2 linked regions of the Caenorhabditis elegans genome follow. The protein of the gene in region 2 purifies or fractionates together with the protein of the main gene of each other region. This does not show direct contact. Each region holds a gene or a part of one and is shown on either strand. Other genes may lie near its edges. The genes, in order: asic-2 and lin-59.

What was found.
Region 1: the proteins of lin-59 (region 2) and asic-2 fractionate together in Caenorhabditis elegans (co-fractionation; one large-scale study listed by BioGRID). This does not show direct contact.

Annotation. Positions count from the first base shown.
Region 1 is NC_003279.8:7,478,344-7,484,154, reverse strand, and holds asic-2 (Degenerin-like protein asic-2), read right to left. Parts: upstream 4,048-5,811; 5' UTR 4,021-4,047; coding exon 3,928-4,020; intron 3,693-3,927; coding exon 3,561-3,692; intron 3,428-3,560; coding exon 3,278-3,427; intron 3,230-3,277; coding exon 3,075-3,229; intron 2,958-3,074; coding exon 2,828-2,957; intron 2,783-2,827; coding exon 2,630-2,782; intron 2,586-2,629; coding exon 2,511-2,585; intron 2,126-2,510; coding exon 1,993-2,125; intron 1,945-1,992; coding exon 1,772-1,944; intron 1,690-1,771; coding exon 1,549-1,689; intron 1,486-1,548; coding exon 1,411-1,485; intron 1,364-1,410; coding exon 1,262-1,363; intron 889-1,261; coding exon 763-888; 3' UTR 650-762; downstream 1-649. UniProt on the Caenorhabditis elegans protein: Could form pH-gated heterotrimeric sodium channels that act as postsynaptic excitatory sensors in the nervous system, generating rapid, transient inward currents that fully desensitize upon extracellular acidification.
Region 2 is NC_003279.8:3,718,083-3,723,314, reverse strand, and holds the start of lin-59 (putative histone-lysine N-methyltransferase lin-59), read left to right. Parts: upstream 1-2,157; 5' UTR 2,158-2,254; coding exon 2,255-2,311; intron 2,312-4,150; coding exon 4,151-4,471; intron 4,472-4,734; coding exon 4,735-5,060; intron 5,061-5,232. UniProt on the Caenorhabditis elegans protein: Probable histone methyltransferase. Essential protein required to maintain expression of homeotic genes egl-5 and mab-5. May play an analogous role to the trithorax Group (trxG) proteins.

The sequences.
Region 1 (5,811 bases), 3.8 Mb from region 2:
GTTTTTGTTTGTCTTGCTCACTTTGCATTTAATGCGTTATTTTTGTTTTTTGGATGTGGAGGATGTTTGGATGATAAGCTTAAAAATGATTTTTTCTTAATTGCAAAATAAGTTTTTGATTAGGATCAAATTGATGCAGACTTCCAAAATAGGTCATATAAACGAAAACACAAGATTAAGTCTTACTAGAACCGACATTATTTTCCTCTTTGGATAGCCAATTTAATGACTTCATAACTAAATACGTTGGAATTTCAATGCAACACTTATATATTTTGCTAAAGTGTTCTCCTGCAGAAAGTTTTTGTTTTTAATCGGCTTCAGATTCAATTTATTTCTTGTCCAAACTGTCTTTCATGTGAGTGCTGAGTACGTTTTTTGAAAAATTTGCAAAATAATATTCAAAATTCATTCAGAAAACGAATTCTCACGAATATTTCATAGAGCAAAATTTTAGTTTTACCTAATATAAATAAAAAATACCAACAGCTAGAATAAATATATTTTTTCTTTAACAGGCACATAATGGGTACTCCTATTTGAGAGCTTATTCTTAGTTTTAGATTTAGGTTTCAAATATCTACTTTTACTTTAAAGTTATTCAGAGTTTTTTGAAAATTATTTCATCGAAACAGTTACTCAAACTGTATCAAACTGTATCAAATGTATTCATTTCTGTCATCAGTCTTTTATATTCTCAACAAGTGTAGACTTATTGTAGTATAGTTCAAATGAACATATTCTTGACAACCAAATGCTAATTTATTTCTTCTTTTTCTCCTCATCTCCTTTATTCTCGATATCGTCAACTTCCCCATCGCTGCCGCTCTCCATTTCTCCGTGTTTTTTCTCCAAATGATCGATTTCCTTTTTCACATCTTCCACGTCCTGGAATTTACTCACTTTGTTCAATTCGTTTCTGGTAGTATGAAATTTTCAATATTTGTTTTTGAGGTTTTGAAAAACAGTAATAAATATTAATTAAATCTCAATAATTTCGAGTCGGCTTCTAATTTTGAAAAGTGTGAATGTGAATTTCAAAACTTAATTTTTCTAGATTTTTGAAATTATAAATACTTGTTTATCTATTCACAATCCAAATAATGACAGAATCCAAAAAAAATTTTTTGCCTAAAACATGTAAGCAAAAGTTATCGTGTTTTCGGCAATTTTTTTTCGAGAAAAGTCAACGGAACATCTTCAGCCCTGGTCCAAGTTCTTTTTAATGCTAATAATTATTCGCAAAAATTATAGAATGTACCTTGATTCTGTGATCATTTTCAATTTCATCATCGTCTGGAGCCATTTTGATAGCTCCACCAGTTACACAGAACGCACCCATGACTAACATTAAACCTGTCATCTGAAACTTTAAGGCATTTTTCGTAGAGTAAAAAAGAAAATATAAACCTCAACAACAGAAATAACGGATAGTCCAAGCCACAAACCGGCTTGTCCTCCCAAGTCATTAATAACGTTGCTAACCTGAAAATATGATAGTATTTTGTAAACTTAATTATATGGACTAGAATCTTATTTCCCGCTTACCGTATATCCTGCAGTTTCAGTGTATAGCTCGTAGCTGAGCGTTTCCAAAAACACTTGTATAATCATTCCATTATTGTTGTACCATTTCTGACAATCTGATTTGCTTGAAAACTTCGAGTTTGTTGAAGAGCAGCTTCCAACCTTCAATGATAGGAATATAGACTTTAAAAAATATAAACTTGAAAAATACGTTCTTGCTCGAGACTCTTTAACGTGAACGTACCCCAGCAGTAGACGAAGTTGCGACGTAATAACTAGTGGATGGAAATTGAGCAAGAGATACTGTTGGTGTGTAGGTTGATTCATCACAGGGAGGATTACAATTGCATTCAACTAATAAATCAATATTCGGAGTGGAACTTGTTTGATTTCCTTTCAATGTTTGGAGGCAGTCCACTGAAAATTAATTGAATTGGTCGTAATCACAAAAAAGGTGAACCATACAATCTGCTTTTATTGGCTGACATGCTGTATCTGTGGATCCGAGAGCTAATCTCGGATTTGCGCATTGGCATTTTGCAATAGTGTCTCTTTGTTTGCATCCATTGAAACATGTCTCCAGTGTGTAAATGAAATCCTAGAATTTGTAAAATTTTATGATGTTTTCAAAAGTCAAAAGTGAGGCTTTTATGTTTCAGTGACTTGTATTCAAATATTGCAGCCTTCGAACCTGTGAGAGTGCTCTAAAACTACTCACAAGTTACAATTTTTCGAAAACTCGGCAATTTTGATCTTAAAATATTTTTGGAGTGTTTAAATAATTGATCTTGTTATAAATGATCATGTATTATATAAATAATTACACAAAACCCTTCCTGGCAATTTTCCATTTTTAAGCGACTGAAGTTATGAAAAATCCGATACTAACAAATAAATAAATACAAACTCGTTGTAATCAAAATTCAGTGAAGATTTCTTTCTTATTTTATTTTGTGTAGAAATTACTAGAAAATAATCCAAACCTTGTAATAATCCGAGCTATCCGGTTCTCGATCCACACATGTTCCATATGGTTTCTTTGCTCGAACGTTTTGAGTCTAAAGGTGTACGTATGAATTTTGAAAGCTATCTATAATCTCACCAAGCTAACAGAAACAGCACTTTCATATCCAACTCCTGCATCGATTCCATTTGAATCTAGTCCTGGACTACTCCCACGTGAGTTTACTCCAATCCGGGCACCCGCTAGTTTAGTTGTTGGCAACGAATCGGTATTCCCATTTGTTTTTGTTTGCTAAGATGTATTGAAATGCTCAAAAGTTGTTAAAAAAGTACTTACCGTGACCGTAAGCATCAATTTTAATCCAAATTGAATACCTTCTCTACTAACAGAATAATTGAGTGACGCATCTTCGTTAAATGAGTAGCATGCTCCATACACTGGATCAATGAACTTTGTGAAATCTGATCTAAAATTATTTTTTGTATTTTAAGAATTAGTTTATTGCCTGTCAGTTACAATGTTTGAGTTTTTTGAACCAAAAACTATGTGACCTAACCCAAATCGAAATATATTTTCAACTTACTCCGAGCAAGGAATACCCGCAAAACTACAATCTTGAATCAAATCCGCGTAAGTGTATAAAGCAGGAACTTTTGCCGTATCACTTATCAAATTTGCTTCCAATACAAGAGCATCTGCTGCTCGAGAATCCAAATCGTAGGTTTCATCGTTATCAGCCTAAAATAGATGAGCTACTCTAAATGCGAGATTGTTTCACAAACTAACATAGAGACCCCATTTATCAGTTGAAAATGTTCCAACAGTAGCATCAGAATATGTTGTCATCAGAGTATTAACACTTGAAAATGCACTGTTCGATTTTACAACACTGTATTTGTAAGGATTCATGTTGCACACGGTAACGACGGGAAATATCTGGATAAACTTGCTTGTAGACTTATTTTCTAAATTCATATTCAGTTCCAATTTGCCAGTAATAACGTAACAAACTTTTACAATTTCCAGATCAAAATAAAATCCTCGTAGTTTTATATAACCAAAAAGATACCTGTTTCTCGAAAAGAATTTCTGTGTTGACAGTGGCAGGATACGAAAAGAACTTTGCGATTAAAATGTAAAGTTCATATGCGAACATTCCCAGAACAAATAAAAATATGGCAATCCAGAAAATACGAGAAATCTGAAACTATTGCAAGATTTTATTTATTCCCAATCTATTCTTTGTTTTTCTCATTAAAAATGTGGTATTTATGGATTCAAATTTACATGCCCCAATCTAAAAATATCCATATTCTTGACACATTCTTATCTTTTCTATTTTTATGACATCATTCCGAAAGGGGAATGACGTCATTTCACAATGCTTCTTGACTGTCTAATTCTCTATCTCTTGCAATTCTTGTTTATTGACCTACCTTATTATTTGCATTTGCCACGTGTGGTACAACTGCTACAGTAGACCAATTGGAAAAATCCTTAAAAATCTGCACAAAACCGCCACCGCGCATCTTGGGCAAGTAAATGATTTGTTGTGTGTTTCTGTTCCAGAAAATGAGGTGCCCATGGATACCAAAGAAATTTCAAATGAGATGTTCTTTTGTTTGAAACAAAAAGACAACAATGTTTGCTCTTTTTCAAATGGAAAGCTGAGAATTGAAAAAAAATTGCTGGGCGAATTTTGCACATAATGGAGTATACAATTAAAATAAATATATCCAATTTTAGCAACTCGAAGATAACTCGTAAAATGGAAGCATATTCAAATTGTATAATACATATTACAAAAATGCTAGACATTGGTCAAAGATGTGCACACACAACTTTTGTAAACCGTTTCGACTTATTATTTAGATAGTTTAGTCTTTTGAACCATTTTGAATACATTTTTGGAAAATCCCCACTGATGCTACTCTGCTAGTAGGTCCGAATTTCAGGATCTCTTTCCTACATGCCTAAGACCCGCCATAATTTTCCAATTTTAAAGTTTTCAAGAAAACACAGTGTTCCTTGGCTCAAACTTAAAGTTTTTATAATATGACATAATTCCACATATTTACTTAAAAAGATTCCGGGTGGTTTCAAATCGTTCAGAAATGATTTAATGAGGTGTTGGTGTGTCACATTGATTGCTCCTCTCTTCTCTCAATCAAACATTACTCTTTTCATCTTCATTTCTCTTCTACTCTCCTCATTTCTTATTCTCTATTCATCTGAATCTTATAAATAAATGTCCTTAGTCTGTGTTGTATCACATGTCCCAACCAACAAGCGAACCTTCAATTTCCTCCATTTTGCACACACACACAACCACATACAAATATTTCCGTCATTTGGCCACTTTGTTCTGCCCCGGTTTTTCGTTTCGATCGAACGTTTTTGGAAGGGCATTCCATTTTATTCCTTTGTCTCTGTTGTGCCTTTTTCTATATTTGTATGGGTTTATCGATATTATGGCAGTTTTCCTATAATTTAAATTTTAGTAACATCTTCATTTGCTTTAAAAAATTCAAATCAATCGAACAAAAACCGAACTATCTAAAAATTGAATATTTTTAATCTAATTAACTGACTATTTATAATAAAGGAACAAATAATGGATGAATGCTATATGGAGAACGCTGTTTTTCTCTGCTTGTTTTCGTTAGTTTGCATCTTTTTTCCCGCTCAAACTGCCCGTTCGTGTTCGATATTCAAGGACAACTTTCAAAAGTATGCAAACGAAAATCTTACCAGTTGTTGGGATTTCTTCTTGGTTTTGTAAGTGAGCGGTTAGTGTGAATACTTTCAACTTTGTCGCTTGCAATAGTAAGAATATACATGAAAATTCAAAGCTTCTCCCTATCCGAAGACTGTCAAATAAAACCCAAATTTCAACCGTTTTTCAAATTCAGCTCATAACTTAATAGTAAACACTTTTCTGAGTTGAGTTTTGGTTTTTGAATTTTCAAATTTCCGAATATTTGCATGCTTTATTCCTCCGCTCTCTTTTTTTCGCATTTTCTGCAAAACGTTTGAATAATAAAAAGGCAGAAGGAGAAAAATTTGCGATCGCCTCTCCCACTCAATGCGTCCACAGAAACGAATAGTCAGTTGTGGCAGTTTGACGTGGTTGCTCTTTTCATTGCTTTTCATAAAAGTTTCTCGGAATTTGGTCTCACTTTTTTTTCGAGATTATTTTGGTTTGAAATTTTAAATTTGGAGAAACGACAGTACTGAGGTCACAATTTTGGAAGTTGACCAAATAACTTTTTTTGATACGAGTATTAAATTTTAATTATCTTTTAACTGTTATTAATTCA
Region 2 (5,232 bases):
GACTATGATTTCAAATTGTACCAATTCCACCAAAAATAGATAGAATATATGCTGAAGAAGAACTGAATTTAGGTAATTCAAAGTCAGGAGCCAGAATTGACAAGAGCGAGTTTAATTTTAATTCTGGCCGTGGAAAAAACTTCCGATTTTGATTTTCTTTTTGCGCTAAAAACATGGTGCATTCCGTCTGAGTGTACAAAAATCTATGGTATTTTTTAAACAAGTATTCATTTATTATAGATTGTTTTTAAAATTCAATCGGAACAATCTTTTATTAAAAAAATTGCAGAACTAGGCCATTTTAACCCGGTTTATCAAGTTTAAAATTCAAAAAAATTGATAATTGTTCTTTTCCGTGTGGAGTATACGATAATTGTGGCTGGATAAGCTGCAGGTGTGCTGAGCTCACTTTTGGAATATTCTGAAATTTCCAAAAGTTCAATAAGTATTTCCTGTAGAATGAACCATTATCTTAAAAATTGACAAATACCAAAAATACCAAAATTATTTGAAATGTCCTTCAAGTTAAACGCGTGGTAAGTGTGATAGGCATGGAGGCCTGCCTACCACGTGCCTTTACTCATGCCTACCGCCAAAGCACAAGAAAATGCCGTAGGCGGGAATGTAGGCAAACAGGTTAGAGGTAAGCACTGAAAGTTTGAAACAATAAACTTGCGTATACTACAAAGAATAGAAACCTCTGGAGTTTTGGCAAAGATACTTTTTGAACTTTCTTATTAATTTCCAAAATCAAATTTTTTTTTTTTGAAATAATTTGAACAATCTCTACAGTTTTACTTTCAAATATGAGAGTTGAAGATGCATACCGAACTGTGCGGTTCCTCGACGCAATGCATCACATTTAACGCGCAAGTTTCAATTATTACGGGGACGCCAAATCTTAAGAATGCGTATGGAACAACATATTTGACGCGCAAAATATCTCGTAGCAAAAACTACAGTCATTCTTTAAGTGACTTCTGTAGTGTTCGTGTCGATTTACGGGCTCGATTTTCGAAAATGTTTTATTTTCGAACTTTGACAGCGAACATGAATTGAAGTTATTTACAATTAAGAAAAGCGAATAAAAATTTCGAAAAGAAAACATTTTCGAAAATCGAGCCCGTAAATTACTGTACTTTTCGCCACGAGATATTTTGCGCGTCAAATATGTTGTTCAATACGCATTCTCAGGATTTAGTAATATATCTAGTGGCCACCCTTGGTTCCCATTCGAATGAACTCCCCTTCCTTCCTTCCATTCCCCCTATTCATTCAAAAACTTATTCTTCGTTTTCTTCCTCAACACAATGTTATCATAAAACGAGGAGACCGAGAGGCGAGAGAAGCGGGGATTCTCGACTTTCTTTGGCGCGCGACGATGCAAAAATTGCAGCCGCGCCGCCGTTGTCTGTCTCCACACTGGCTCATTGCCAAATGTGAGGAGATTGAGAGAGAGCGAGTTTGTGTGCAACCTGTTGTCAACTACGTCTCTCGTTATAAGACATTACATGCAGCATGTCTCGAATTAGAACCAATTGTCTGCACCTCTCCCTTGTTCGCTTCTCTCTCTCTCTCTCTCATACACACAAATAACACCAAAGTGAAACACAGGCCCCCATCCATCGGACTGGTGTCTTTCTTATTCTTTCCCTCCCCCCTCTCTTTACCCCCTGCATTGCTTCGAAAGCCAGCCAGCAGGCGACCGCAACGCACGACCGCAACGCGTCGCCTCGCCTTCTAATCGTTATTATATTCACTACTATTGGAAGACACCGACTTGTCTCTCTAGCACCCTCCGCCTGGGTTCCCGCTCCTTCTGAGTGACTGTCGAGCACGGCTGCGTCTCCTCATTGGACCGCTACTCTAACCATTTCGCATCGCCATCGCGGCCCTTGACATCCGTCTTTTTGTGGGTTTCCTTGAAAAGAAGCTTGTGCCTTCTCATCCCCTCCTCATCTCATAAAAAACACCCAATCATTTCCATTCAACTCTTTTTTCCTTTTCTTTATACTTATTAGTAATAGTAGTACTCATCATTGCAATTTCGTCATCACTTTCTTTGATGTTTGCATATACTTAATCTCATTATCATACATACTCATTACCTTAATTACCCCTCTCCTAATTAATTAGATTAATAATTCGAATTTTTAGCGCTCAAAAAGCCCAAGTTATTAAAAAAACTGAAACAAGGTCGACCTGCAAAAGGGTCGCACGAAATGGTCAAGTAACAAAGTGAGAGCCGCCGAGAATGCACGGGGCCGGCGAGCAGCAGCAACGTTACAGATATAATGCTCGAAGTGATGAGGTTGGTTTTATCAGTTTACATTCTTTTTCCTATTCCTATCTCCTCCTTACTCGACATGACGAATTAAGATGGGTGGCAAAACACCCTTGCAAATGACGTCATCGGTTAAGCAAGAACTCTCAGAAATTTCGAAATCATTTTCCATGTATTCCCCCACCCTCATTTTTCCATCATCATTCAATTCATTGCCTCGGCGAGACATAAACAATAACACCAAGTCTCGTGATGTTGTCATACAGCTTTTTAAAGTTCAAAAATCCTTTCTAATTCTATACCTCGTTTTGTTAATTGAGCTCCAACACGAATTTGACCTTTAATGTGCATGAAAACAAACCCAAATTATAGGGCAACAACCATGCAAACTTTGTGAAAAGTTTGAAATGGCAAGGTTGCATAATAATCGAAAATTGGTTTGGAATTTTTATATTACCAACTTTTTATATTGCACCAACTTTAACAGCTCATATCTCAGTTGCCATTTGCTCTATTTAAAAACTGTCAACTGACAAAATATTTATTAGTTAATTCTCTTTTGTTTGTAATTAATTAATAATTGATATCTTCTAAATGAACCGAGATATAGCTTTTAAAAATTCAGCAGTGTGATCCAATACTATTAAAAAAATACGGTAAGCTAGGTTATTATATCTTTTGATCATTTGAGCAATGGGTTGTGGTTATCGAATTTTGAAGTTTTGAACTTGTTTTAAAGAGCTTGACATGTAGAATAACTTTTTGGAAGAGCCCTCTGAAAATTGATATGTTCCTTGTTAGGTGGGTTGCTACTATTAACGGAAACTTGTATCAACTCTAGTTTTTTTTTTAATTTCCAGTCAAAAATTAACTGTTCTAATTATCATAGTTTTGAGCATTACAAGACATTTTAAAACTGATGCACCTTTTATTTTAATTCCCAGAAGAAACTCATTTTCAAACAAAATTTGAAGAGTCAAGTTTTTACAATAGGCACAGGCAGACAGACGTAACACCACTAACACAACCTAGTTTTACTTTTCCGTGTACGGTAGGCGTAGGTCATCTCTAAAGCCAGATCTGAAAAACTCAGTAGCTTGAACTCTACCAAAATTTCAAATAATTTTTGAAAGTCTAGCCTTTTATTTTTAAGTTTTAAGTTGTTTTTAAGTGCATAATAATCCCCAATGACGCTTTTGAAATTCCATTTGCTTAGCAACCAAATGGATTTCAAAACTAAGTCACAAATCCTCATTTCAAAAATAGATTCCTGCAACTCGTGATCCTCTTCTAAATATCACCCAACTATACATCCAGTAATCCCTAGTTGACATTAAAAAAAACCGAATTCTATAAATGCAACTCTTTCTTCTTTTTTCCCCATTTTCTGGATACTAATCTGCACTCTAATCTGTCCTCCTCGTTCTCGATCTTTATCTTTCATTCGGCCATCGCGACACAGTTTTCATCTATATTTTTCGACTCGCAATGTTTTGAAATTTATTCCGACAAATTGGGTGAAAAGAACGAAACAAGTACATATTTGGAACTTTTTGATTTTAATCTAGTAACCTTTCATGCATTGCGCATACCTTTCCTCAAACCTGATCCAACTTCATAAGACAAGTTCAAAATTTAGGATTGATCGTTCTAGACTGATCTCCTTTGATTAGTGGAAATTCAGATCTAAACTGGAAATTTGGGTCTTGCAACGAAAAACTGTTTTCAATAGATTAATCAGTAGATTAATTGTACCATCACTTTGAATCAGAACATCATACTTTTCCACTTGCTCCTGGATCTTCGGATTTAGGAGCATTTTTAGATAATCCTAACCCCAGCTCTAGATTAATATCCTGATTCCAGCAACACCATCATCCATCGACGTCTTCTCACCAATACCAACAGCAGGGTGCTCGACAGATGCACCAGATGCATCCGATCCAGGCGACGCTGATGTGCACCCCCACCACCACCTCAGCAGCAGCATCAACTTCCTCGTCGGGCGGTAGCAATAGTAGTGGTGGAAGTGGTGGTCACCGTCAGCAGGGGAACATTCTTCGCATCGGAAATTCCATCAAAATCGGTGACAACATTTTGGAGCCCGCAGGGACTCTGGTGTTCTCACAAGCCGACGGGACGCCGTGGACTGGGCAGAGGATCGTGGTAAACGGGAGTACACATGCGGTGAGTTATAATATTATTTTTTAATCTTTTCATTCTTATCAGTAATTGTTTAAGTTAGGTGTTTATGAGTTTCTTTTGTTTGAATTCATTTTGAAACTAAAGCATACACATATGATAACAACAAGCCATGCGATGTAATAAATGTCTTTCTTTTTTATCAAGCGAAGCAAATCCCTAGGGAATTATTACCTAGGCAACACCACAGCACCTCTTCCATCTCTAACCCCTCTTCTCAATTCATTTTGAAACTCTATACTCTTCAGGTTGTCAAAGCCAATCTCTTTCCAATTGGCACAACACCGCCCGTGCTCAACATGCAGTCCAATCAAAATTGGTACATGAATCAGCCGTCCGGTACAGTTCCGATGTCAAGTAATGCACCAGCAACAACGTCGTCTGCAACTCCTGATTCGGGAATTCAAAGTGTTCCGACGTCTCCGCCAAGTCCGAGCTATGCAATGATGAATGATGTGGATATAGGTGATCATGACGATGAAGAAGACGATGATGGTCCAGCTGATTTCACAGATATGCCACTGTTGAAACCAGTAGATGAGGATGATGATTGTTATGATGTTCCTTGTACAAGGTTGGTTCTTGAAAGTTTTGATAATCTAGGTAGGCAAACTTCCCAGTTTGTAGAATTATTGTAGGATTACTGTGGATATATTGCAACAGTTTTGTAAAACTTATTTTGAGACCAATGCGTTTATCGTGTCAGCATCCCACTTTCTGATTGTTATATTTTTTCCTCGATTTGG